4 linked regions of the Macaca fascicularis genome follow. The protein of the gene in region 1 purifies or fractionates together with the protein of each later gene. This does not show direct contact. Links are inferred from orthologs where the notes say so. Each region holds a gene or a part of one and is shown in the gene's direction. Other genes may lie near its edges. The genes, in order: protein tyrosine phosphatase type IVA 1, CNNM3, CNNM1 and CNNM4.

Region 1 (7,862 bases):
AGGGACAGAGGAAAGGAGGACAGAGGGAGTGTGGGGATGAAGCAGAGGAGGAAAATGTGGCTATGTACAGAGATGGGGAAACGTGAACAATTGGAAAGATTGGGGAGAAAGAGAAGGGCTGTGAAATGAAGGGGGCATTGGAAGAGTAGAGCAGAATAGAATCAGGAGGAATAACAGAGAAGGTGAGAAAGATTTAGAGAACAGAGAAGAGGGACAGGAGGGGAAACTGGGAGAGGTGTGAAACATAAAGGACACAGAGAAACGAGAGCAAAGATGGGCAGAGAGAAAAATGGTATGTGGGTGAAAGGACAGATTTTTGCATAACATTTGCAGTCTTCTATGTTTGTTTCTATCATGTGCTATTCTTTCACTTACAGAACGATGAAAAGATGAACGAAGTAATGAATCTAGCCCATACGTTTCTGCAGAATTTCTGTCGAGGAAATCCACAGAATCAAGTTCTTCTTCATAAACATCTGAATTTGTTTTTAACTCCAGGTGTAAGTATTTTAGTGGCTTCTAATATTTCTAGTAAAGTGTGCATCAAACTTGTCTTAGTAACATTCTTGAAGAGAATTTTGTTACACTTCATTGCTGCCTTTTTTTTTCCTTGTGGAAATTCTCTCTCCAAAAGCAAGTGTCTTTTTTTTTTTTTTTTTTTCCCATTAAGGAAACTTTTAAAGAAACTTGAAAAATTGCACAAGTTTTACATGCAAATGACAACGTCTTTTATATGTATATAGTTAAATGTTAGGAAAAAGATATGGTAGAACAACGAACTAACTCACAATACCCTGAGTAAGGTAAATATGGAAAACTCAGAGGTGGAGTTTGCCCTTGTCTGTAAAATGTGTTTGAGCAGATTTCATGGAAGACCTAACTTTGAATTCATAATTAATCTCGAGAATACTGTTGCCAGTATGTTGCACTTTATGATAATAAGCTCCTTTCTCCAACTAAATTCCTCTGTGAACTCAGTTTTCTTTTAATGGTTAATGATCTCATTGCATTTTTTGAAAGACTTGCACAGAAAATTCACTGTGGCTTTGTATAAAATATAAAACTGATCACAAGCGGGGCAATTAGTCTAAGTACTGTAGAATAGAAAATTGATCTTGTCAGAATTACAAGGGCACGTTCCTCTGTGTTTAGCTCCTTGAAGCAGAAACCATGCGGCACATCTTCATGAACAATTACCATCTGTGCAACGAAATTAGCGAGAGAGTTGTACAGCACTTTGTGCACTGCATTGAGACACATGGCCGCCACGTGGAGTACCTGAGGTTTTTGCAAACAATTGTGAAAGCAGATGGTAAATATGTGAAGAAATGCCAGGATATGGTAATGACAGAGGTATGTTCTCAGTTTGCCTTTTATCAGCTTCACATAAACAGTATGTTCAAATATGTATTTTCTATTAGAGTGAAAAAACCCCCAACCGCATAGGTTTGAGAAGTTATTTAATTTAATCATGACTACTCAAGTGCAAATATATTTTGCTTTAATCTAGTGAAGCAACATATCTTAAGTTGGTTTTATGATTTTTCTAATATTTTTCTTTTTGACCTATAAAAATTTGTGTATTTTAAATAATGGGCAAAATCCTATGAAATGTTATCGATTGTTTGGAATGAAAGTGACACAATTTTATATTTTTGAGTTTCCAGTGATATAAGAAAGACAGACTGAACTGTGCTTTTCCGGTGCCTTTATTGCTCTGTTTCTGAAATATAGAATGGGTGTTCTCTGCTACTATTTGTAGAAAGGTTTGAAGAGAATCAAACTAAGTAATACAAACTACCCAACAGTGATTTTTTTTTTTTTTACAACATGTGGAAACTTATTATTTAGAGTAAGTTGTAACTTTCAGCAAATGAATAGATGAAGGCACTTCATCTATTGCCTTCAAGTATGATGCATTGGAGAAGTAGCAGCTTAAAGAGCCCGTTGATTAAATCACTACTCTGTGACCAAATGGTTCTCTAGTGGCCCATATGGACTAAGGGAGCTTCCACCTATGGCTACCAAATAGTTACATGGTAGATTTTTATTGGTTTCTGGGCATTTTCATTAGTATATACCTTAAATTTGGGAATGGAGGAAATTTCCATAATGCTTCAAGGAGTCCCTCCTGCCACTTAGAAATCTTAAAATTAATTTAGCTTAAAGCCTTGAATTTTTAAATGTAAATTATTGTTATTAAACATTTTAAGGAACATTTTAAGCTTGTAAAATGCACCTTTTTCTTCTCTGAAATTACCTTCACATTAGCTCTTCATTGTCTGGAAATGTGAGAACTAAATGGATTTTGTGTTATGATCAGCAAGGAAAGAATTAGAATGGGGAAGCAGCAAACAGTGAAACCATCCCTATGACACTGTTGGGTGAAGTGTTTCTGTGCACAAAGAAGTATTTGTAATATTATATTATGTTAATATGTAATACATATTTTTGATAAATATACATTCTCTTTCAACAAAACTTTCAAAGTAAGCCAACTGGCTTATAGATTTAAATATGTTGTCACTTTAAATATAATACATAGAGAAAAAATTGTATATCCTTAGTTACCTACCAACATGTCTCACACTGGGGTTAGAAAATTGGTACTGATAATAGACAATAAGATAGTATGGAGTTTGAGCAATAAAACTGCCATCTGATGGAATTTTCTACTAAAATTATATAAACAAAATATGAAGGAAAATTTATGTCCTAAAAGCCCCTACCTATTCATATCTTTGTTTCTCTTGGTTTTTTGGTCTTAGTTTTCTACTTATTTCTCTTGTCTCTGCTTTTACCTTCATTCTCTACTGATGCCTTCTTATGACACATGGAATTTTTTAGACTTTTGTAGAGCTGTAATTAGCTCGATGTACTTGCTTATGCAGTCACTATTACAATGGATGAGGATATTTTACTCTGCTTTAGTAAAATTATGAGATTTCTTGTGCTTTGGCCATAGTCTCCTGGCCAAAAAAAGGTAGAGGAAAATAACTATTTTTTTACAGGTTTAATTTGAGTGTGATGAACAATTTACTATCATCCATATTGTTTCATTCTTGCCCCATCTGCTGCTTCCATATCACCCCAACTGATTTTGATAGCATTCATAGCTGGTTCCTTGGCATGGGACCATAATCTTTTCACCACCCTCCCCCAGCTTAGCTCTGCTTGTGCCATATTATATATGTTTTTACAAAGAGATACATGTGGCCTCGGCGCGTGTATTGGCTCCTTCGGCTGCGGGCCGGCTCGGCTACGCGCTCTGCTCCGAGCCGCTCACTGCATGGTAGAGTCTGGTGCCCCCGCCGCCGCCTGCATCGCCGCCACCGCCGCTCCGCCACGACCACCGCCGCCTCCTGCCCTGCAGCCGCCACCACCGCCTGTGTCGCCGCCGCCTCGGGACCGGCTGTATGATTAGGCCACAATCTTCAATGAGTAAACATATTCCTCAATTCTGTGGTGGTCTTGGTCACACATTTATGGAGTTTCTGAAGGGCAGTGGAGATTACTGCCAGGCACAGCACGACCTCTATGCAGACAAGTGAACTGTAGAAACTGATTACTACTCCACCAAGAAGCCCCCATAAGAGTGGTTATCCTGGACACAGAAGTGTTGAATTGAAATCCACAGAGCATTTTACAAGAGTTCTGACCTGGATGGGGTAAACCTCAGTGCGCTTCTTTTCTGTTGGCCTCAGTATTACTGGATTGAAGAATTGCTGCTGCTTGTTAGGAGGTTCATTTCATTTATCATTACTTACAACTTCATACTCAAGCACTGAGAATTTCAAGTGGAGTATATTGAAGTAGACTTCAGTTTCTTTGCATCATTTCTGTATTCAATTTTTTTAAATTATTTCATAACCCTATTGAGTGTTTTTTAACTAAATTAACATGGCTCGAATGAACCGCCCAGCTCCTGTGGAAGTCACATACAAGAACATGAGATTTCTTATTACACACAATCCAACCAATGCGACCTTAAACAAATTTATAGAGGAACTTAAGAAGTATGGAGTTACCACAATAGTAAGAGTGTGTGAAGCAACTTACGACACTACTCTTGTGGAGAAAGAAGGTATCCATGTTCTTGATTGGCCTTTTGATGATGGCGCACCACCATCCAACCAGATTGTCGATGACTGGTTAAGTCTTGTAAAAATTAAGTTTCGTGAAGAACCTGGTTGTTGTATTGCTGTTCATTGCGTTGCAGGCCTTGGGAGAGCTCCAGTACTTGTTGCCCTAGCATTAATTGAAGGTGGAATGAAATACGAAGATGCAGTACAATTCATAAGACAAAAGCGGCGTGGAGCTTTTAACAGCAAGCAACTTTTGTATTTGGAGAAGTATCGTCCTAAAATGCGGCTGCGTTTCAAAGATTCCAACGGTCATAGAAACAACTGTTGCATTCAATAAAATTGGGGTGCCTAATGCTATTGGAAGTGGAACTTGAGATAGGGTCTAATTTGTTATACATATTAGCCAACATGTTGGCTTAGTAAGTCTAATGAAGCTTCCATAGGAGTATTGAAAGGCAGTTTTACCAGGCCACAAGCTAGACAGATTTGGCAACCTCTGTATTTGGGTTACAGTCAACCTATTTGGATACTTGGCAAAAGATTCTTGCTGTCAGCGTATAAAATGTGCTTGTCATTTGTATCAATTGACCTTTCCCAAAATCATGGAGTATTGAGTTATGACTTGTTTAAATCTATTCCCATGCCAGAATCTTATCAATACATAAGAAATTTAGGAAGATTAGGTGCCAAAATACCCAGCACAATACTTGTATATTTTTAGTACCATACAGAACTAAAATCCCAGGAACTATGAACACTCTAGACCTTATGTGGTTTATTCCTTCACTCATTTCAAACATTGAAAGTAGGGCCTACATGGTTATTTGCCTGCTCACTTTATGTTTACATCTCCCACATTCATACCGGTATACATCAGGTTTGCTTAACCATTGATTTTTTTTTTTTTTTTTTACCAAGTCTTACAGTGATCATTTAATATGTTTCTATAAATCTCACTTTGTGCTGTTATTAAAAAAACCTCCATTTTGAAAATCTACATTGTACAGAAGCACATGTCTTTAATGTCTTCAGACAAAAAAGCCTTACATTAATTTAATGTTTGCACTCTGAGGTGCAACTTAACAGGGAGGGCCTGAGAAAAGAATGGGAGGGGGCTATTAATTATTTTTAGCAAAATGTTGCCTTTGTCTTGTGCAGAACATGTAGAACATGCTCTTTAATTTAGTAAAATATTTTTTTAAAAGGTAGAGATGCTTTGTTATTGTAATCATAAACTTCCTGAAATTCTTGTAATTTTTTTTCCATACTTATCAGAAGCATGTTTACCAACTTATTTTTGTTTGAAAGTGTGATTTTTTTTTCCCTTCCCAACCTCTCTTGCAAAAAAAGAAATGGGTTTCTGCTAATGAATTGAGCAGACATCTAATATTTTATATGCCTTTTGAGCTGTGTAACTTAATATTTGGATACTTGATAATTTGTTTTATTATGTAATTGATAAAATGGTGATGTGTATTAATGTTAGTTCAACCATATATTTATACTGTCTGGGGATGTGTGGTTATAGTTCTGTGGGAGAAATAATTTTGTCAGTGTTCACCAGCTTGTAAAAACTTAGTGCGAGAGCTGAAACATCTAAATAAATAATGACATGCATTTATCATCAAAAAAAAAAAAACAAAAAAAAAACAAAGAGATACATGTGTTTCCAGATATATCAAGCCTTTGGAATTAACTGCAAGGATAAATGTTTGGACGGCTCTGTAGACTCTCTTATTATCTTTTCAGTTGATAAATGGGGGTGAAGACGTGCTGATATTTTACAATGATAGAGCGTCATTTCCCATCCTTCTCCATATGATGTGTTCAGAGAGAGACCGAGGGGATGAGAGTGGCCCCTTAGCCTACCACATCACCCTGGTGGAGCTGCTGGCAGCATGCACAGAGGGGAAAAATGTCTACACTGAAATCAAGTGTAATTCCCTTCTCCCGCTGGACGACATAGTGAGGGTGGTGACCCATGACGACTGCATCCCTGAGGTAAGCCTGGCAAAACTTGGCAGCTCTAATAGAATCATTATTAATTTTTAAAGTTCATGTAGGTGCCAGAAGTCCCCCATACTAATATTTATAATGAGATCATATATTTAGTCAGGGAATTGTATTTAACTATATAATTTGGAAAATGTAAAGCAGCATAAAAGGTCTGCTTTTTAATAAGAAGTTCTAAAAGAAGTTCTGAAAGATGATAAACTTTTTTTGTTGGTTTTTTTGAGACAGAGTTTTGCTCTGTTGCCCAGGCTGGAGTGCAAAGGCAAGATCTCGGCTCACTGCAACCTCTGCCTCCTGGGTTCAAGTGATTCTCCTGCCTCAGCCTCCTGAGTGGCTGGGATTACAGGCATGTGCCACCACACCCAGCTAATTTTTGTATTTTTAGTAGAGACGGGGTTTCACCATGTTGCCCAGGCTGGTCTCGAACTCCTGACCTCAGGTGATGCACCCACCTCGGCCTCCCAAAGTGTTGGATTTACCGGCATGAGCCACCGCAGCCAGCCTATGAGAAACTTTTAAGACGTATAGCCACTGCTCGTTTAGTGGAAGCTACTAGACAGCTCTCTTAAAATTCTAAACATGGCAATATGATCAAACTGAAAGGTTTACTTGAACCTTTAGTATGTACTTGAGCATAAAATAGGTGTTTCAAAAATGATTCATAATCATTGATTGGAGAGGCTAGGATAGTGCTGCAGGATCACATAAAAGACTCTGCAGGTTTACCTGGTTTTATGGAATAGATGCATTCTTGAAAATATGCATACACAGTTTGCTTTATTCCTACATCATTTACCCTCTGTCCTGGTTTGACTCTGATGATAGAAAAAGCCTCAGTAGCAGCTGGTTGTCTGCCAATAGGCTTCTATTAATGAGGCATCCAGGAATGTACATTGCAATAATTTCTTTCTTTTCTACTGTTGTATGTTGTTCCAAAGCTTATAAATGTGTGACACCCTGAAAAAGATATGGAGTCAAACATTTAAAATCACAGTAACTTAAAAAGGTGTCAGATGAGGTTAACGGAAATTCCCTACTTTTAGATAATCGTATGGTAGTGATGGACTTGAAAGCACATTTTTGTGAAATTTTGTGGAATTGTCGACATGTCACTCCAAGAGTACTTCATGCCTGATTGGTCTGAAATAAGATGACAAAGAGGGGAAGTCTAGTCTAATGATGAAATCCCTGGGTTCTGTCCTTACTTGAGAGCCTGATTCTGGGTATATTTCTTCCTACATGTAGTTCCCTCTGACACTGCCACTCTTACCTCTTACATTCATCTAAGTAACTCCTCCTTATCCTTTAGATCTTGATTCAAGCCTTACTTCTCCAGGGAGGACTTCCTTGGCCTCCCTTAGTAGAGTCTGTAAGAATATATAATTTGAAATTTGACATTTCCATTTTATTAGTTAGCAAAGACCTGTAACCCTCATGCCCATGCCCAAGATTGTAAGCTCTATGAGAATAACAACAACTGGATCTGTTTCTTTTCACTGTTTTATTGTTTGAGCCAGAGCCTACACTCAATAAATAAGTTTTGAATGAATACACAAAAGAATTACAGAATATTTTATCCTGGATACATTACATTCTAGTTGTGTGGCTGACTCCAACAGGTTACTTTAACCTTTTTAATCTTAAATTCCTACAATTTTAAGGTGGAATAATTATCGTATATGCCTGATAGGATTGTTGGAGGATTAAAGTAAATAATTCATACAAGATGCTGAGGGTATTTGGCACATAGGAAACACTGAGTAC
Region 2 (7,087 bases), on another chromosome or scaffold:
GAGCCACCGCGCCCGGCTAGCGTCAGTTATTTTTACAGATCAGTAATGATTGTGGAGACCAGCGGTGTGAGGGTTCCAGGTGAGAGGGGGTGATAACCTGAACAAGGTGCATGGCAGGCCTGGAGAGGAGCCCCAAGAGGGCAGCAGAGGTGGAATTAGGAAGATTGGTGTCTGGCAGCGGGGCTGTGCAACAAGGAGCAGCAGCTGAGGATGAGGCCCAGATTTCTGACCGTGTGGTGGCGGTGCGCCTTCACTAAGGGCCAGGCATGGGGAGCAGGTTTTGGCCATTGAATTTATGTCTGTGCAGTGTCCCAAGAGGCAAACTTCTAGCAGGCGGTTGATGTGAACTGCAAGCGGGAGGCAGAATGGGAGTGTCTCTCCAGTCACGGGAGGCAGGCAGAGAGCCTCAGCCTCCCAGGAGCACAGGTGTGTCCGGGGCAAGCAAAGCGCAGGAGAAGTTGGCCAGGAGGAGGCCAGACCAAGGAAGGAGGAGAGCCCGAGATGCGGAATGTCCTGGAAGCTAAGGGAAGAGACCCCTTTCCCAGGGAAGGGGAGTGACAGGAGAGGAGGCCAGCAAACAGGATACCGTTGACCTCTGCAAGAGCAGATTTGGTGCCACGGCAAGGGAGCCATTTGAGGAATGAATGAGGTGTGGAAAGGTACGAGAACCAATGTAGACAGCCCTCCACAGAGCGTGGCTGCAGAGAGCAGTGACCGGCAGAGGACTGGGGCAGGGGAGGAGGCCCTCTGCTGTTTGGTTTTAAGATGAGCAAGTGGAGCAGGTTCAGACTGAAATGCAGGTGGAAATGTAGCTAGGAAGGAAATCAGAAAGGCCGGGGTCCAGGCTGCTCCTGTTCTGGGCTGGGTGGCCTCCAGGCAGGTCACAAGCAGCCCGATGCAGGAGGATTTGGGGATGAGTGCCTCTGCTTGAAACGGACCTTTCTAAAAGCTGCCTGACAGCACGCTGAACAGGATCCCCTTGGAAGACAATGGGGGAGGTTTTTGGACCCTGGAAGTTGAATGAGGAGCTTTTTAATCCCCCTTGACTTCCCCGCTCCTGTGGTGAGTGAGGGCCATTCGTGGGCAGACTGGCCATGTCTCTCTGGTGACATCCCAGAGCTTTTTTCTCTGCTTCTCTAGTTCAGTGCAGTCCTTTGGCAAATATATTTTTTCCGTGTTAAAGTCCTTTTTGTCCTTCCTAACCTTCTTAGGCATTCCTCGGCTTAGGAACAAAGAACATATTGCAGCTTTTGTGGTGTGTGAAGTTTTAAAAATCGATTCCCTTCCCATCTCTCTGCCAAGCGTATGAGCCTCTGAATTTCCTGGAGCTGGAGTCCCTGCCATCTTGGCAGCTTTCATTCCAGCTCTTGTTTCTTTTGCTCCGTCTGCTAGGGAACTTAAGTCTGGGGGCGAGGTACCAGCAAGGCACCCCTCAGTCAGTGCCAACTTGAGATGACATGCTGATTGTTTTGTGCAGACGCACCAGGAAGAGTGAGTGCTTCGGAGCAGTAATAAATAACTTGGACAGCTGCTCCTTGACTTACAAATGGGGTTATGTCCTGATAAACCCACTGTACGTTGAAAATACCTTGTCAAAAATGTGTTTGATACATCTAATCTACCAAACAAAATAGTTCGGCCTGGCCCACCTTAAACATGCCCAGAACACTTACTTTAGCTTGCAGTTGGGCAAAGTCATCTAACACAAAGCTATTTTAAAATGAAGTGTTGAATATCTCATGTAATTTATTGATTGCTGTACTGAAAGTGAAAGCAGAATGGTTATATGTGTTTGAAGTACAGTTTCTGCTGAATATATACTGCTTTTGAACCACCAAATTTGAAAAATTGTAATTTGAACCATGGTTAAGTCAGGGACCTTAATGTACAAAAGAACGTTATTGGCCAGACGCGGTGGCTCAAGCCTGTAATCCCAGCACTTTGGGAGGCCGAGACGGGCGGATCACGAGGTCAGGAGATCGAGACCATCCTGGCTAACATGGTGAAACCCCGTCTCTACTAAAAAAAATACAAAAAAAAAAAAAACTAGCCGGGTGAGGTGGCAGGCGCCTGTAGTCCCAGCTACTTGGGAGGCTGAGGCAAGAGAATGGCATGAACCCGGGAGGCGGAGCTTGCAGTGAGCTGAGATCCGGCCACTGCACTCCAGCCTGGGTGACAGAGCGAGACTCCGTCTTAAAAAAAAAAAAAAAAAAAAAAAGAACATTATTGTTACTATTATTATTATTATTATTTTGAGATGGAGTCTTGCTCTATTGCCAGGCTGGAGTGCAGTGGCACAATCTCGGCTCACTGCAACCTCTGCTTCCTGGGTTCAAGTGATTCTCCTGCTTCAGCCTCCTGAGTAGCTGGGACTACAGGCGCACACCACCATGCCCAGCTAATTTTTTTGTGTTTTTAGTAGAGACAGAGTTTCACCATGTTGGCCAGGACAGTCTCTATCTCTTGACCTTGTGATCTGCCCACCTCGGCCTCCCAAAGTGCTGGGATTACAGGCGTGAGCCACCGCGCCTGGCCAAGAACGTTGTTATTATTATTTTTGAGACAGAGTCTTGCTCTGTCACCCGAGTTCGAGTGCAGTGATGTGATCGTGGCTCACTGTAGCCTCTGCCTCCTGGACTCAAGCAATCCTCCCACCTCAGCCTCCTGAGTAAGCTGGGGCCACAGGTGAGCACCACCATACCCAGCTAATTTTTAATTTTATGTAGTGATTGGGGTCTCCCTCTGTTGCCCAGGCTGGTCTCGAACTCCTGGCCTCAAGTGATCCTCCCAGCTCAGCCTCCCAAAGAGATGGGATTACAGGTGTGCGCCACCGTGCTCGGCCGCAGTCTCTGCTTTAAAGGAACCGAGCTCTGGTTTCCTGTCAGGAGCCAGATGATTGCCAGGATGCTGAAAAGAGTCTGAGCAGCTCCGACAGCGTGAGGAGTGTCAGCACGCTACTTTTGTCTTTCTCACAGTATTCATTCATTCACCCAGGTGCTTTAGAAAACAGAAGAGAGAGGGTGGATGAACTTACACTCCAGCTGTTATTAACATCATAGAAATTGGGCGTTATGAAAGGGTACTTTGGCATTGAAATAATTGGGATACCCTGGAGCCTGCTAACTAAAATTACACTTGAAGCTTTTCCAGGACTTTCTGCTTGATGTTGGCAAGACACACTGTCACAGCTGCTCGTGGCCCCGTGGAGCTGGCCCGCGGGTGGGCGTCGGTGTGCGTGGCCCCGTGGAGCTGGCCTACGGGCGGGCGTCGGTGTGCGTGGCCCCGTGGAGCTGGCGGGTGTCGGTGTGCGTGGCCCCGTGGAGCTGGCCCCCGGGCGGCCGTCGGTGTGCGTGGCCCCGTGGAGCTGGCCCGCGGGCGGGCGTTGGTGTGCGTGGCCCCGTGGAGCTGGCGGGCGTCGGTGTGCGTGGCCCCGTGGAGCTGGCCCGTGGGCGAGCGTCGGTGTGCGTGGCCCCGTGGAGCTGGCCCGTGGGCGGACGTCGGTGTGTGTGGCCCCGTGGAGCTGGCCTGCAGGCCGGCGTTGGTGTGAGTGGTTCTACTCTGGTGGCTCAGCACATGAGAGGTGACCTTGAGTCCCTCCTGCTGCCCTTGCTCTGTCCCCCTGCTGCCATCTTTGGCTGCCATCTAGACCCCCCAGACGTTCTTCTTGGGATTCAGTCACACAACCACTGTTCCGGGGGATCTTCCAGGGCCTGCTTTCTTCTGTTCGTGGTAGAGTCATCCCAGTGTGGCAGGAAATGGAGAGTCGTGTGCCTTGTTTTAGAGGGAAATGGAGAGTCGTGTGCCTTGTTCTCGAGAAGTCTGAAAGCAAAGGAGTGAGTCCCTCTCTGCAGGAAACCTGTCACAGGGGCTGGCTTCCTGGGAGAAGGGAGTCGAGATGAGGCCTCTCTGCGCTGAGGTGGCTGTTTAGATCCTGGGCTTTGGTGCTGGAATCCGAGGCATTAACCAAAACCACAAGTCGCGCGTGGCCTTCCTGGCCTGGCCTGACAGGTTTGTACTCTGGCGGGGCAGCCGTGGCCCACGCAGAGACGGCACCCAGCACAAGCACCGAGGGTTAGAAGGTGTCTAGAAATGCGGTTCAGAGGGCTGAGTGGCCATCTCCAGGGGCCCTAGCCTTTCCTCCTGGAAAGCGGGGAGATGACTCGTGTGGCCATTTCCAGCTTTTTGTCCAGGGGAATGCAAGCATCCTGGAGAACTGTGCTTTTTTAAATCAAGCTCACGGGATGTAAAGTATGATCCACACAACGTGAACTTGACTTTTTGATTTCCCAAGAGAGTCTTGAAGCAGGTCCCCCTCACAGGCAGGTCCAGGCCAGTTTCCCTCAGTGTTTCCGTTAGTGACAAAGGAGGGCCTGGCTGGATGACTTGCTCCCATCCCCTGTGCTGGCCCTGTGCAGCGCAGGCCGGCAGCCCCCTCCACCTGGGGCTGTGGTACCTAAAGGTGGAGTCTGAGTTGAGATGTGCTGTGAGCATAAAACACACCAGATTCAGAGAGTGCAAAATAGACGAAACGTCTGTGTTTATTTTTTGGATTGATGACATGTTGAAATGCTGTTTTGACTATATTGGGTTACTTACAATATAAAACTTAATTTTGTGTGTTTGTTTTGACTTTTCTAACGCAGCCGTTCAGATTTTAAATTACTTAGGTGGCTTGCGTTCTGGTTTTTTCAGACGGGTCTAAAGTAGTGTGGATGAAAAGCACTTACCTGACACAGTAAATTCCTGAAGCCTCCCCAGCATTCCCCAACACTGTGAGACTTGGGCTTTTTTCCAAGTTTACATTCCCTCACTAAGCAGACAAACCAAACAGGAAGCTAACCTGAGAAAGAAAGACAGGGTGAGGCGGAAGATCAGCCTGGTGCCTCCCCCTGCACAGCTTGACTCCTGAGTGGTCAGCTGCCACGCGTCTCATCCCCTGGTTCACAGACCCTAATGGGCAGCTCTAAGAATTAGGAAAACGAAAAGATACACAGACACACACACGCACACACATACACACAGTCTATCTATCTTTCTATCTCTTTTTCATTTCTATCATAAGGACAAGAAGGAGTTCACATTTACATAGGATGGACAGCATATATATTTACTGTAAAAAAAAAAAAAAAAAAAAAAAGAATTAGGAAAACCTCCCGAGGAGAGTCAGGCTGGGTGGCCTCACTCAGCCGCCCCGTGTGGACTGCCGCAGGAGAGCCTGCGTTTCCGGAGTCATGCCCTTGTTAGCCTGCATATGCAGGCTGGCTGCTGTGTGAGGCGCATGTGTTCTCGACTGGATGCTTGTCTGAACTGCATCCATGGCATGGAGGTGCGCAGACCTGGAGCTGGATCCCAGCTCGGCCACCTCTGCCTGGGGGGCCTGTGCAGATGAGCAAGCATGAGCCCAGGGCTTCATTTTCAACCCGTGTGAAAATAAGGCCAGTCCTCATAGTCATGCTGGGTGTCTTAAGTAAAAACCTAGAAAAGAGTCGGGCTCTGTGCCTGACCCGCTGTAGGAACATGAACATTAGCCACGTCCTTTTGGTGGGCCCCGAGGGAGATGAATCAAAATGCGGGGGCCCAGCAAGCTGTTCCATGAGTGTCCTCCGCCCACAGGGAAGTCCCACCTGGCCATCGTGCAGAAGGTGAACAACGAGGGTGAGGGCGACCCCTTCTACGAGGTCCTGGGCCTGGTCACCCTGGAGGACGTGATCGAGGAGATCATCAGGTCCGAGATCCTGGACGAGTCTGAAGACTACCGTGAGTCCAGACTCTTGGCAGTTACGTCTCCGCTGGGCCCGCGCACTTCCCCAGGTGTATGTTGCGTCCGAGGCCAGTGGGCCTCTGTGCTGCTGAAACCCAGCAAGATCCACAGCCAGGCCCCTTCTCAGCCCTGCCTGGGCGCTGGCAGGGAGCCGCCTTGCAGGAGGGCTCGCCTGGGGCTCCGTTAGCAGCAGTCCTGTTAGATTCCTCCATTACTGAGAGAGCTCTGCCCTTCATGGGCCTTTCCCAGCCTTCTGTCTCCCGAGGTGCTTTTGTTTTTGCAGGTTCTTTTGTACATTACAGAAATGTCCTCTGAAAGAACCCATTCTTTGCCATGAAGAAAGTCTTCCCGGCTGGACGCAGTGGCTCACGCCTGTAATCCCAGCTCTTTGGGAGGCCGAGGCGGGCAGATCACGAGGTTGGGAGTTCAAGACCAGCCTGGCCAATATGGTGAAACTCTGTCTCTACTAAAAATACAAACATTAGCTGGGCGTGGTGGCGTATGCCTGTAGTCCCAGATACTCAGGAGGCTGAGGCAGAAGAATCGCTTGAACCCAGGAGGCAGAGGTTGCAGTGAGTCGAGATCATGCCACTGTACTCCAGGCTGAGACACTGGGAGGGGGTGGAAATAAGTCTTCCCAAAGCAGCTGATCCCGGGCCCTTGATTTCGTGGTAAAAGTGTCTGCCTGTTAGGTTGGTGGCTGAGGTCTGCAGAGCTGCACAGAGCCTGCGCTTCATGGCCGGGCCCCCTGTCCCGCATGCTTCCAGAAATACTGCTTTACTCGTGTCAATTTTCAAACATAGCATTTCTGGTTCCATTCCTGAGACTGCCACAGGCCTGGGGTCTCCAGGTTAATTGCGGCCCTTTTGCACTGGTCATCCTTGAATACATGCTTTCTAGTGAGAAGTTTCTCAGTGGCCAGAGAGGCCTGTTACTATTTTTTAATTTTTAATTTTTTTTTTTTTTTGAGATGGTCTTGCTCTGTCATCTAGGCTGGAGTGCAGTGGTGCAGTCATGGCTCACTGCAGCCTCAACTTCCCAGGCTCGAGCTTTCCTCCCACCGCAGCCTCCTGAGCAGTTGGGACTGCAGGCGCATGCCACCACACCTGTCTAATTATTTTATTTTTTGTAACGACACGGTCTCCCTGTTGCCAGGCTGGTGGTGAACTTCTGGCCTTAAGTGATCCTCCCGCCTCGGCCTCCTGAAGTGCTGGGGTTACAGGTGTGAATCACTACATCTGGCCTAAATTAAAATAAAATTGAGTCCACGTCCAGTGACCTATCAGGGATGCCTGTTGTTTTATAAGAGCTGCTTTGTTATCATAT
Region 3 (7,087 bases), on another chromosome or scaffold:
AGTACAAAAAAGAATGTAAAATTCCTCACTAATCACTTTATACTAATCACATGATGATGGGAAATTATTTTGGATATATTGGGTTAAATGAAATACGTTATTAAAATTAACTTTACCTGTTTTTACTTTGTAAAATGTGACCACTAGAAAACTTTGAATTACCCGTGGGACTCACGTTATATTTCTCTTCAGCAGTATTATGCTAGATTAAAAGAAGTTGTCGTAAGTTGTTGAACAAGGGGAAGGAACTGACAAGAAGTGATACCCGAACCTAGAAATGCCTCTGGAAGAAGCAGAGCAGAGTTGGATACATTGACAGTTTGTCAACTATTTCTTTTAAGGCAACACATTGACATGGCAGGAGTTCATGATTTTTAAAAATTTTTTTTAAAAAATGGAGCTGTGTGAAAGCAAGGCTGTTAAGGCCGTGAGTCACATAGATGATTTAGCCATTGGGTGGTACCTTTCCTTTTATATAAACACCCACCAACAGTGCAGACGCTCTCCAGCCCCTGCCCCTCCCCACTCTCACTGCCGTATACTGCTGTGCTTCTTCCCACTAATGGCAGACCCTGGCTGTGGCTGTCTGAATCTTCTCTTTAGCATCACTGACAAGTGGTGGTTTAATATCTGTGTGAATGCCTCCAATGATGAGGAACTCAGTACCTTACAAGGAATTGTGTCCCATTTACTCAGTATTGTTACCAAAACTACTTTCTTCCCATCCTTTTCTCCCTGACAATGCTTAAAGAGAGGGTTAGAGTTCCTGGATCCTTGATACCGGGTAATAAGAGGGGCCTATCATTGTTTTTTAAAAACATGGTGGCTCATACCTGTAATCCCAGCACTTTGGGAGGCCAAGGAGGGTGATGTCACCTGAGGTCGGGAGTTCAAAATCAGCCTGACCAATATGGTGAAACCCTGTATCTACTAAAAGTACAAAAAAATAAGCTGAGCGTCGTGGTGTGCACCTATAGTCCCATCTACTCAGGAGGCTGAAACAGGAGAATTGCTTGAATCTGGGAGGCAGAAGTTGCACCACTGCACTCCAGCCTGGGCAAGACAGAGCAAGACTCCATCTCAAAAAAAATTTTTTTAAAAAGACTGGTACAACTCACTGAAGATAAAATCTGGGCAGAACTTTTCCAAAAATAAATTAGTTGAATAATATAGAGCATTTTGCAGCAACAGTCATTCCCAAGAGACTTCCAGCTTGGGGGATGCAGCCAGTCTACCAACTCAGAGGGGCCCTGAGCCAGCAAATCCATTTCAAAGCCTACTGAAACAGCCCCTTCCTTCTCTCTTCCTCCTCTCCTTTCTTCACTCACTGTCCCTTTCCTTCTGTCCCCCTTCTCCACTGTCCATACTTGGAATTGCCTTCCTTCCCCTACTTTCCCTTTTGCTTTATTTTCTTGATTAAGGATTTATTTTTCCAAGACCTAGTCTTGCTTTCACAGCATCTCCAGTCACACTGACTCTGGGGGCAGAGGGGACACTGCTCCTTGCCCCACCTCCACCCTGTGTGCCATGGGCAATTTAGACATAATGAGATGGTAAGCTTGACAGTTGTCTTTGAAATGTATGCCCATTATAAAGTCAAATGGTGAGACATGCATGTGGGCATGTTTTAAACAACCATTCCTAACAGTTTTGTATAATAGATTCACTCATGTTATCTCATTAACTCTGGGCCTCTTTTATAAGATCAGAGAGGTTAACAATGTGGCCAGTGTATTCATTTGCCCATTGGCTGATTAAAAATGTATATATATTTGGCCAAGGTCTCCCAGCTTGAAAGTGGCAAAATTGGGACTTGAACTTTAGTTCTTGGCAGTATGTTTCCTGCCATATTTCTTAGGTGAAGGGACATTTGTCCTTTGACTAAAGTAGAAGCCAAATCTAAATAACTAAAGAACCCAAATAGAGTAAGATCAACTGCTTTACTGGGCTTACCGAGTGTCATTTAGGGAATTTTCCCATCCTTTGGTGTTAGAGCCAAATTTCCTCATCTTTGGGGGAAATTTTGGAACCTGACTTCTCACTTCCCAACAGAGGGAGTGGCAAAAGTCAGGTGTTCTCAACAAGCACATTGAATCGATTGAAGACTTTGGATAAATGCTAAGTGGAGACCTGTGGTTCCACGCCATAGAGCAAAGAACATACCATTTTGACCTAAAAAATATCAAAGCCAGTTGTTAACACTTTGCTGCTTTGTCCTTTAAAATCCTTCAGAGAAAAAAACCAAAACCTGAGTAGTACCTGTATCTGATTTTAACTAGGTCTTAAGTCAGCAGTTCTCAAAGTGTGATCTCCAGACTAGCAGCACCAGGAACACAGGAACTTGCTAAAAATGCAAATTCTCAGTCTCCACCCCAGACCTAGCAAATGAGAAACTCAGAGTTAAACCCAACAATCTTGTTTTAACAAGTCCTTCAGATAATTCTGATGCTGAGGTTTGAGAATCACTGATTTAAACCATCAATAGAAAACTCTATTTGCCCACCTGAATGGGCAGAAGTATGATTAGAAGCCTGGAATCTCTGTATATGTGTGTCCCATATGCTCTGCAAAAAGGCATGCATTCTTAACTGGTGTTTTATGATTAGATTAGTTGTGCTTAGAATTTGCTTGGTTCTCTTGCAAAATATCCTGAAGTTTGTTGAAGAAAGGATTGATCGTGTCCAGTAAAATAATGGGTCTTGTGAGTAGTTGACAAGGAGCCACTGTTGAGACCTTACCAGATACAAAGCCAACTTCAAGCCTACTCTCTGTCACAGTGTGTAAGCCTCAACCATCCCCCTCCTACTGCCAGCAGAAATCTTTCCTGTTTCAACATGTGATACCAATTCTGCCCCAAAGGAAAGAGAAGGCAAAATGAGCAGAATTTGTTCGTTCTCTAGCGCTAATGCAGTGAAGGGGGGATGAAAACGCTTTAGGAGATGCTATGATTGGGAAGGATATTATGCCACATACCATTTCCATTCTTCTCCCAGTGCCAGCCACTGATGAGCAGTTTCACATCCCTGTACAAGGTGGCACACTACCTAGTCTGTTTTCACTGCTAGCAAGGATTCACAGTGCCTGTCTGTGTTGTATACCCAGAGAACAGGGGTGACCGAGACACCTTCCTGCCTCTTAGAAGAGACATTTGATCTATATTTTTCCTGCCTGGAATCATGGAGACTCCTGTCTGGTCTGGCTGCAGCCTGACCCTCCAGATGCCTTCACTTGTGGCTGACGTTTGACACAGCAGGAAAATCACAAGTCTGACTCCTGTGATTTGAGGAGACAGCTGGGAGACCTCCCTGCTGTGGTCCCTGCCAACATAGGAGCATGACCCTACATCCAGGGATGGGCTTAGTCCAAATCAGAAATGCCTGTGTTCTCTCAGGCCCTAGCCTCCAGCTTCCCAACACTGAGACCTGGGGCATGAGAGCTTCGCTGCTGGAGTCCTACCTTATTCTCACCAAGTCACCCCCGACTGACCCTTTGGGCCTTTGGCAATAGTATAAATGTGTGTTTTAAACTTCTCCATGGACAACCACCCGGCTCTCTGAAGATGCCCTCCATCCTCTCCAGCGTCTCAGAAGGTTTGGTTCTTCCAGGTGCCAATAAAAAGGAACAGTGGGAGCTGGTGGCAGACCAGCAAAGGGCCCCTCACTGTCCCTGCTGGACTGCTACAGCGTGGGTAAGGCCCCCGTTGGTGGATCTCAGGCCTCAGAGGCCGAGGGTTCCAAGCACCCCAGCGAGGCTGCCCCCGAGCCTGGGAAGGCTGGCTGCATCCAGGAGGGCTCTGCCTAGCTGCTCCTAAGCTCCTGCCCTCTTCCTTCCAGATCACACGGCAGCAGTATCAGAATGCACTCACTGCCTGCCACATGGACAGCTCACCTCAGTCCCCTGACATGGAGGCCTTCACAGATGGGGACTCCACCAAGGCCCCCACAACCCGGGGCACACCCCAGACCCCTAAGGATGACCCCGCCATCACGCTCCTGAACAACAGGAACAGCCTGCCGTGTAAGTCAGCTGGGCAGACGGGCAGGCCGGGCTGGTGTGGGGTGAGGACGACCCTGCCTTCCTCTTCTAGCCCTGCCCAGGGCTCACACCACCTGAGCCCTGGGTCTTCTCCAAAGCAGAGAGGTGATGCACGTGCTGTCCTCCCCAGGCAGCCGCTCAGATGGGCTGAGAAGCCCCGGCGAGGTAGTGTACCTGAGGATGGAGGAGCTGGCCTTCACCCAGGAAGAAATGACTGACTTCGAGGAGCACAGCACACAGCAGCTCACACTGTCTCCGGTAGCCGTTCCCACGACAGCAGGTCAGGGAGGCCGACTGGGCCTAGCAGAACAAGGGGGATCATCGCCTTTGGGTACTGGGATGGCCCGGGGAAAGCTGGCTGAGGGGAGCCCTGGGACCGCAGCCCCTGCGTTAAACCTCCAACCTCCTTACACAGCCAGGGAAAGGAAACATTTACTGAGCACCTACCATGCATCAGGCCCTGTCTGATTCATTCTCCCAGGAAAACTGTGTAGGGCAGTATTAGGAGTTGGGTTTCTGCCTGGATTCAGACCCTGGCTCCTTCATTTAGGAGTTATGCAATTTTAGGCAAGTTATTAAACCTAAGACTCAGTTTTTTTTGTCTGAATAGATAAGTCTCCTTATGTTAATAGGTATAAATTATGACAGCTATCTTATAAAGTAGCTTTGAGCATAAATGAGATAATGTACATAAAAGGCATATCACAGTGTTCAGTACCATGCTTTATAAATGTTACGTAGCTATTATTAGGCCTACCTCACAGATTAGGAAACTGATTAGGAAACATTCTAACTAGCTGTGGCTTTGACCAAAGGTGTAGTCTATAGACTTTTCCTGAGGTCTCGGATCATATCACCTCCGAGACGCTGAACACTGCTGCCTTGACAGTGGTGTTGCTCTGAGCGCCCAGGGTCCCAGCAGTCCTGAGAAGCTTCTGTGTTTGCCTCTCTAAGATGTACTTCCCCAAGCTTTCAGTAGCCCCCTAAGCCTGCACCCAAGCCAGTAGTTCCCCTGCCAGACCTACTCCAATCCATAGTATAAGACTCCTCAAGTCCAGAGCAACAACCTGAAAAAGTGCTCAAAGATTTTTAAAGTTGGCCTGGCACGGTGGCTCGTGCCTGTAATCCCACACTTTGGGAGGCCCAGGCAGGCAGATCACCTAAGGTCAGGGGTTCGAGACCAGGCTGACCAACAATGGTGAAATCCCGTCTCTACTAAAAACACAAAAATTAGCCGGGCATGGTGGCGGGCGCCTGTAATCCCAACTACTCAGGAGGCTGAGGCAGGAGAATCGCTTGAACCTGGGAGGCGGAGGTTGCAGTGAGCCGAGATGGCACCACTGCACTCCAGCCTGGGCGACAGAGTGGACTCTGTCTCAAAAAAAAAAAAATTTAAAGTCAACAAGACAATATGCTTGAACTTGTGGCTGACCCACAAAATCTGAGACATACATGGTCACTGTTCCAGGACCTGAATTTAGAACTGATGTTCTTTTTCTGCCCTCAACACCAAATCTAGTAGCTAAAGCACACAGCAAGAAAATGTAACAAACGAGTAAGAACGAAGGTGATGGAGTAGTCTTGGAGATCATCTAGTCCACCCTCGTCCTGTGACACATGAGGACCCTGGAGGCCTAGAGAGGGGAAACAACTTGCTCAAGTCCAAAAACTGCATCATTAGCAGGCTCAGCCTCATGGCTTCAGTGCAGTGCAGTTTCCAGCACACCACTCTGCCTTCTGTTTAGGTTTTTATTTGCATTGGTGGTAAGGCTTGGCCCCCTTCTGGGCTCTCAGGTTCTGTAATTCTTTGAACTCCCATTGAGTCCTGCGGGAGAAGACAGGGACAATGTTGTTGAACCCTGTGGCTTTCTGGGGTTTGTGCAAATAGACCAAGGAGACCTCCACCTGTCCTCACGTGTGCTTTTAGTCTGGCAAATAGACTGGATGGAGAACACGTTGTTCTCTAACCCCTCTCTCTTGCCAAAAAGTGTTTGAGGAGAGGGAATGATTTCTGACTTTGCATGGATCGTTGCATTCCTGCTCCTGTTCTCCATCTTTTTGTTCCTTTTGTGGCACTAAAATGCCTCTTGCTAACTAATGACACCCAGCACTTTCCTGGGCATCCCTGCCTTATTACACCACCCTCGCTTTGGCTCACGTCTTAAACTTCACCTGCTGAGGGATGTCACTCAGAATCACCCTGTCTTGATGCCTGAGTGTGTAGGTTGAGACAACTTGAGTTCTCTCTTCTTTCCTTTCTCAGCATCAGATAGCGAATGTTGTAACATCAACCTGGATACAGAGACCAGCCCCTGCAGTAGCGATTTTGAGGAAAACGTGGGCAAGAAGCTGCTGAGAACCTTGAGTGAGTAGCTAGTTCTTCACCCAGATGAAAGCCACCCTGCTGATGGTTAGTAGGAAAAACATGTTAGCATCTTCCTCCTGAGGGAGGAGCCAGGGACTCCTCTTAGAAACCCTAATGAAGTACAATTGTGGAAATCCGCAAAAGGGATTGGGCCAGCACTGCACCCTTGATAGTTTTGGGATCTGTCCCATTCAGTTGTTTTCCTCTAGGACAGGAGACTGCACACCATGCCCACAGGTCAATTCTGACCTCCCTCCTTTACTGGTTTTTGTAAGTAAGGACTTACTGGATCACAGACAGATCCATTTGTTATCTATGGCAACAATGTCAGAGATAAGTAATTGTGACAGAGACCATATGGCCCACAGGCCTCTAATATTTACTGTCTGGTTCTTTAAAGAATTAGTGTCCAGGAGACTCAATAGAAAGAGAGCAATATCCTCCACACACGGAAGTCAATGGTGGAGAGAACAAGGTGAAGATATGCCTTCCTAAAAACAGACCTGGGAACAGATTGCTCTCTCATCCTTGAGGACAACTATGTAATTATGACCACCTGCCCCACTGCAGAAAGGAGGTTGCTTCAGAGCTAGAGAATGCAGGTCCCTGGAAATAGCTCCCAGCTACAGCCATCAACCCTGATTCATGGGACATCAAAGCCTATGAGATTGGTCCTCTCTGAGGGTG
Region 4 (7,087 bases), on another chromosome or scaffold:
CTCTTGTCTGACCTGCTTCTTTGGCCCACAGGGAAGTCCCACCTGGCCATCGTGCAGAAGGTAAACAACGAGGGTGAGGGCGACCCCTTCTACGAGGTCCTGGGCCTGGTCACCCTGGAGGACGTGATCGAGGAGATCATCAAGTCGGAGATCCTGGATGAGTCCGACATGTACAGTGAGTCCAGCCCTCCACAGGGCTCAGGACCCCTTTCCTGCTTGGATCGAAGCCTGGTGTCCCTAGCTGGAAGGGCCATAGTGCAGGACACAGGAGGCCTAGCATCCCGAGGCCCGGTGGCCAGGTGCCCTGCACTGGCCGCGGTGAGCAGGGAGCAGGTTACTGAGAGCATTGCCCGGAGGCTACCTTCACCCTTGGCCTCTGTGCCTTGGGGACCTGCCAGCCAGAGCCCGCTGCTCCTGCGTGGGACTAGGGGCTGGAGAGCAGGAGCTGCGGGGCGGGTCTCTTCCTGAGTCCTCTGGGGTCTGTGTTCTCATTTCCACGCTCTTCGTCCGGCAGCTGACAACCGAAGCCGGAAGCGGGTGTCTGAGAAGAACAAGCGCGACTTCTCCGCCTTCAAGGATACGGACAGTGAGCTCAAAGTGAAAATCTCCCCGCAGCTCCTCCTGGCTGCTCATCGCTTCCTAGCCACAGGTAGGAGCGTGAGGAGGACCTTCCGGTCTTGGTGGAAATACGGTCACAGGGGGAGAAGTCCTGGGTCTCTGGCTACTTTCCCCTCATAGGACGAGGGCTGCAGCAGGTGAGGGGTGCAGAGACAACACAGCCACCCCTGGAAGGGGCCAGGTGCCTACTCCACCCCCGGGGATCTCCCTGCGATTCGTTTGCCATTAATGGGCAGCTACTGCAAACTTCTAGGAAGCATCCCGGTTATTATAGTTAATAGTTTGGGAAATAATGACTAAGCACTATGGCTCACACCTGTAATCCCAACACTTTGGGAGGCCAAGGGAGGAGGATTGCATGAGCCCAGGAGTTCGAGACCAGCCTGAGCAACATGGCAAGACCCCATCTCTACAAAAAATCCAAAAGCCAGGCAGGGTGGTGCCCTCATGTAGTCCCAGCTACTCAGGAGGCTGTGGGATGGGACAGTTGCATGCCTGTGGTCTCAGCTACTCAGGAGGCTGAGGTGGGAGGACCGCTTGAGCCCAGGAGTTTGAAGCTGCAGTGAGTTCTGAATGCGCCACTGCACTCAGCCTGGGCCACAGAACAAGATTCTGTCTCAAAAACAACAAAAAAGAAAATAACTACTGAGGTGGGCCCCTAGGCTGGCCAGGCCCATCAGGGCTTGTGGAATGGGAAGAAGGGATCCTTCCCCTTCTGCAGGTCTGCTGGGTGCGGCTGAACCCCTCGTGCGCTCACCCACTCTGAGGAGCTTGCGTCCAGCTCTGCTCTCATCTCTCCAGCCCTCCCCTCTGCAGACGTGTGCTGGTTCCTGCAGGAATTCACCTCTAGTTCAGAGACATTTCTCTTTTCCGCCCTGATTCAAAGCTCCGTTGGGGACTTGGGTGACAGGTTCTGTTCTGCCCTCCCTGCCCCCTCCCCCACCCCACCCAATTAATCTTCCTTCCCACCCCTTACTTGCTAAAGGGATGGTAATTCCCTCTCCATTATTTTTCCTGTGGGATATCGATGCTGATGCAATAATTATAGTCACATATACTAAGCGCTGTCCACGTGCTATCCCATTCGCCCTCACAACCACCCTGTGAAGCTTTTACCCCCATATTACAGATGAGGAAACTGAGATGCGGGTTATATAATTTGCCCAAGGTCACGTGCTATTCTTGTAGGAGCCACTGTTCAAGCCCGGGCAGGCAGGCAGGCAGCCTCGGGTCCATCCAGTCAGAAGCCAAGCGTGCTCCCTCCCCAGGGAGATACAGAACTGAGGGCCGGCCGAGCAGGGAGGGAGTCTGATCACAGCACGGCTATTGTGGTTGGGGTGGACGCACAACAGTGATCGAGCTTTAGGGCCACCTGGCCAGCCCCGTGTAAGGTCTCCTCTCTGTCCTCCTACAGAGGTCCCCCAGTTTAGCCCCTCCCTGATATCAGAGAAGATCCTGCTGCGGCTGCTCAAGTACCCAGATGTCATTCAGGAACTCAAGTTTGATGAGCATAATAAGTACTACGCCCGCCATTACCTGTACACCCGAAATAAGCCGGCCGACTACTTCATCCTCATCCTGCAGGTGAGCCCACTCAGCCCTGGGCCTGCCGCCTGCTCCCCCTGGCACCGCAGCACCCCTCGGGCCCTCTTTCCCACCTGCTGCGGAGGTGCATGGCTTCCCGGCCTGGGGAGCCTGCCGCCTGCCCTCGAGCCCCACCTGCCCCACGTGGCTGTGCTCTCCCTGACAGGATGAAGGAGAGGCTGTGCTCTCCCTTAATCCCACAGGTCAGGCCCCTGAGCTCTCCAGGGCTCCAGTACCGGCCCTTCCTCCTGCCCCACCATCCCTTGTTCCTTACTCCCCATCCTGCCTCATCCTTTCTTTCCTCCCTCACTCTGTCTCTAACCCCAGCCCTGTGTGTTTTCAGGGGAAGGTGGAGGTGGAGGCAGGGAAGGAGAACATGAAGTTTGAGACGGGCGCCTTTTCCTACTATGGGACTATGGCCCTGACCTCGGTCCCCTCTGGTGAGTTGTTGGGCAGGGTCTGTGCTGCACTCTGGCCCCCTGCAGCTGGGGAGCCGTGGACAGACACCAGAACTGAGCGTGGGCCCGAGAGCTCATAGCCAGTTGGCTGGGGCCGAGGGAGGCTTGTGAGGTGGGAGCCGCCAGGGCCTGGAGTGGGTGGTATGGAGGAGCGGAGGGAGCTGCCCCTTTGGATGGAGTCCAGAAACCGGAGGGGAAGAGAGGAGAGAGGGATTTTAGAGCAAAGGCCAGGAGGCAGTGGAGGGCATGTCCAGAGGTGGTGAGGAGACCAGTCTGCCTGGGGAGGAGGCCTGTGGGGAGGAAGGCCCAGGGCCCTGCTCCTGAGGACAGGAGGGGAGTCTGGGCGTCCAAAGTGCCTGAGGTCAGGAGCCAGGCGAGGGCCTGTTTGCCAGGGCAGGCTGCAGATGGGTTTGGCTTTCCGAGGGACGCGGCTACTGGGTTTTGGTTAGAGGTCAGCTCCGATGGAATAAAGGGCCCTGGGGACAGACAGAAGGGAGACTGGGCACCCCCTGAGAGGTGTGATGGAAGGTGTGGGGACGCGCCGCTCTGGCCGCCCCAGTGCCCTCTCCGGTGCTGAGTGGCTCAGGCTTTCCCCGCAGAGCCCCGCAGACAAAGCCCTGCAGGCCCAGGCCTCGCCAGCTCATCTCCTCGCTCCTCTCCAGCCTTGGGTCCTGGGGCGAGGCTGCTGCAGGGTAGAGAGAGAAAGTCCACTTTGGTGCTGGAGAACAGGCCACGCCAGTGGGGTACATGCTGCAGTTCCCAGAGCAGCTCTGTGCTGTGCCTCATTGTCCTTTGACAGAAAGGACCCCGAGGGGGCATGGGGGTAGGGCACCCATGAATATTGACACCCAGCTCAGCTTACCCACCGTGTCGTCGGCCCCTCCACCAGATGAGTGGGGCATGGCAGGCTCCCTGGGCAGGGGACAGACAGGGCCCCAGAGAGGGGCTCTGAGCAGGTGGACCCTGCCAGATGCCTGAGGCCTGGGGAGGACTTCCTGTGCCTCCAAGAGCAGCTGTTCTCTGTTCAGCTTGAGGAAATCTCGTTCAGAAGGGCGGGCAGGCACGGGAGGCCTCCCCCAGGCACTGCTTGTGCAACGAAGCCTCGGAGGCCTGGTCCCTCCACCCGTAGTCTCTCTGTTCCCACTTAGTGTGGCCAGAAGGGAGTGGAGATGACTGGGCATACTCAGCCAGCTTCTGCCCATCTCCGCACAGGGCTCATTGCTGTGCCCTGAGCACCCTTCCCATCAGAGCCACGTCCCTTTCTCCACTGGGCCCGTCTCTGCCCAAAGCAGCCTGGCCCCGTCAGGTCTGCCTCTGTCCTGTGCCTGTGGCTCCGTGTCCTGTCTCCTGACTGTGCCCATCACTGACCTTCTCTTTTGCTCCAGTGCCTTCAGTCCAGGTCGGGTGTCCGCCTGGCAAGCGGAACTCCCTGCTCTGCTGGCTCACAGGTAACGTGGCATGGCTGAGGGGCACGCTGCTGCCTGCTGCCTGAGCCTGCACACTGCGGCTGCATTAACCTCCCCGCAGGGACCGGGTGCCACCTGTTCAGTGTTGGCCGCCCGACCTCAGTGGCTCCGACCTCAGTGGCTCTGCTTGGCTGGGGCCCAATTTCTGGGCAGCTTTGCTGCCTCAGCTCTAGAAGGGGCCCCCAAAGGTCTCTTAGTCCTTGAGATCACACACCCATAGACACATACACACAGAGACACACAGAGACAGATACCACACACAGATATACACACCCATAGACACATACACACACACACACAGACACACAGTGAGATACCACACACAGATATACACACCCACAGACACACACACACACAGAGACACATAGAGACAGATACCACACACAGATATACACACCCACAGACACACACACACAGAGACACACAGTGATGTACCGCACGCAGATATACACACCCACAGACACACACACACACAGAGACAGATACCACACACAGATATACACACCCACAGACACACACACACACAGAGACAGATACCACACACAGATATACACACCCACAGACACACACACACACAGAGACAGATACCACACACAGATATACACACCAACAGACACACATACACAGATATCACACACAGATATACACACCCACAGACACACATACACACAGAGACAGATATCACACACAGATATACACACCCACAGACACACATACACACAGACACACAGTGAGGTACCACACGCAGATATACACACCCACAGACACACATACACACAGACACACAGTGAGGTACCACACGCAGATATACACACCCACAGACACACACACACACAGAGACACACAGTGAGGTACCACACGCAGATATACACACCCACAGACACACACACACAGAGACAGATACCACACACAGATATACACACCCACAGACACACATACATACAGAGACAGATACCACACGCAGATATACACACCCAGAGACACACACACACAGAGACACACAGTGAGGTACCACACACAGATATACACACCCAGAGACACACACACACAGAGACAGATACCACACGCAGATATACACACCCACAGACACACACACAGACAGATACCACACACAGATATACACACCCACAGACACACACACACAGAGACACACAGTGAGATATCACACACAGATATACACACCCACAGACACAAACACACACAGAGACACACAGAGAGATACCACACACAGATATACACACCCACAGACACACATACACACAGAGACACACAGAGAGATACCACACACAGATATACACACCCACAGACACACATACACAGAGACAGATATCACACACAGATATACACACCCACAGACACACACACACAGACACACAGTGAGATACCACACACAGATATACACACCCACAGACCTACATACAGAGACAGATACCACACACAGATATACACACCCACAGACACACACACACACAGAGACACACAGATAACACACACAGATATACACACGAACAGACACACATACACACAGAGACAGATACCACACACCGATATACACACCCACAGACACACACACACACAGAGACACAGAGAGATACCACACACAGATATACACACCCACAGACACACATACACACAGAGACAGATACCACACACAGATATACACACCCACAGACACACACACACACAGAGACACAGAGAGATACCACACACAGATATACACACCCACAGACACACATACACACAGAGACACACAGAGAGATACCACACACAGATATACACACCCACAGACACACACACACACAGAGACACACAGTGAGATATCAAACACAGATATACACACCCACAGACACACATACAGAGACACACATACATACAGAGAGACACAGAGAGATACCACACACAGATATACACACCCACAGACACACACACACAGAGACACACAGTGAGATACCACACACAGATATACACACCCACAGACACACATACAGAGACAGATACCACACACAGATATACACACCCACAGACACACATACACACAGAGACAGATACCACACACAGATATACACACCCACAGACACACACACACACAGAGACACACAGTGAGATACCACACACAGATATACACACCCACAGACACACATACAGAGACAGATACCACACACAGATATACACACCCACAGACACACATACACACAGAGACAGATACCACACACAGATATACACACCCACAGACACACACACACACAGAGACAGATATCACACACAGATATACACACCCACAGACACACACACACACAGAGACACACAGTGAGATACCACACACAGATATACACACCCATAGACACACAGACACACAGAGACAGATAACACACACAGATATACACACCCACAGACACACATACACACAGAGACACACAGATACCACACACAGATATACACACCCACAGACACACAATCACACAGAGACACAGAGAGATACCACACACAGATATACACACCCACAGACACACACAGAAACACACAGTGAGGTACCACACACAGATATACACACCCACAGACACCCATACACACAGAGACACACAGAGACACACACAGAGATACCACAAGCAGATATACACACCCACAGACACACACACACACAGACACACAGAGACACACAGTGAGATACCACACGCAGATATACACACCCACAGACACACACACACACAGAGACAGATAACACACACAGATATACACACCCACAGACACACACACACACAGAGACACACAGAGACACACAGTGAGATACCACACGCAGATATACACACCCACAGACACACACACACACAGAGACAGATAACACACACAGATATACACACCCACAGACACATACACACAGAGACAGATACCACACACAGATATACACACCCACAGACACACACACACAGAGACACACAGAGACACACAGTGAGATACCACACA

Evidence for each region.
Region 2: the proteins of protein tyrosine phosphatase type IVA 1 (region 1) and CNNM3 purify together in Homo sapiens (affinity purification with mass spectrometry; 6 studies listed by BioGRID and IntAct, with this or other methods). This does not show direct contact. The link is inferred for Macaca fascicularis from reciprocal best matches to the Homo sapiens genes PTP4A1 and CNNM3.
Region 3: the proteins of protein tyrosine phosphatase type IVA 1 (region 1) and CNNM1 purify together in Homo sapiens (affinity purification with mass spectrometry; 4 studies listed by BioGRID and IntAct, with this or other methods). This does not show direct contact. The link is inferred for Macaca fascicularis from reciprocal best matches to the Homo sapiens genes PTP4A1 and CNNM1.
Region 4: the proteins of protein tyrosine phosphatase type IVA 1 (region 1) and CNNM4 purify together in Homo sapiens (affinity purification with mass spectrometry; 6 studies listed by BioGRID and IntAct, with this or other methods). This does not show direct contact. The link is inferred for Macaca fascicularis from reciprocal best matches to the Homo sapiens genes PTP4A1 and CNNM4.

The regions. Positions count from the first base shown.
Region 1 is NC_088385.1:29,334,303-29,342,164, reverse strand, and holds protein tyrosine phosphatase type IVA 1, read left to right. Parts: upstream 1-3,215; 5' UTR 3,216-3,900; coding exon 3,901-4,422; 3' UTR 4,423-5,739; downstream 5,740-7,862. Other genes in the region: inositol 1,4,5-trisphosphate-gated calcium channel ITPR2, read left to right, coding at 378-500, 1,153-1,353, 5,835-6,086. UniProt on the Homo sapiens protein: Protein tyrosine phosphatase which stimulates progression from G1 into S phase during mitosis. May play a role in the development and maintenance of differentiating epithelial tissues.
Region 2 is NC_088387.1:1,841,112-1,848,198, forward strand, and holds part of CNNM3 (metal transporter CNNM3), read left to right. Parts: intron 1-5,613; coding exon 5,614-5,811; intron 5,812-7,087. UniProt on the Homo sapiens protein: Probable metal transporter.
Region 3 is NC_088383.1:108,347,371-108,354,457, forward strand, and holds part of CNNM1 (metal transporter CNNM1), read left to right. Parts: intron 1-3,833; coding exon 3,834-4,017; intron 4,018-4,165; coding exon 4,166-4,315; intron 4,316-6,298; coding exon 6,299-6,400; intron 6,401-7,087. UniProt on the Homo sapiens protein: Probable metal transporter.
Region 4 is NC_088387.1:1,807,656-1,814,742, forward strand, and holds part of CNNM4 (metal transporter CNNM4), read left to right. Parts: intron 1-31; coding exon 32-175; intron 176-514; coding exon 515-649; intron 650-2,032; coding exon 2,033-2,202; intron 2,203-2,545; coding exon 2,546-2,642; intron 2,643-4,045; coding exon 4,046-4,108; intron 4,109-7,087. UniProt on the Homo sapiens protein: Probable metal transporter. The interaction with the metal ion chaperone COX11 suggests that it may play a role in sensory neuron functions. May play a role in biomineralization and retinal function.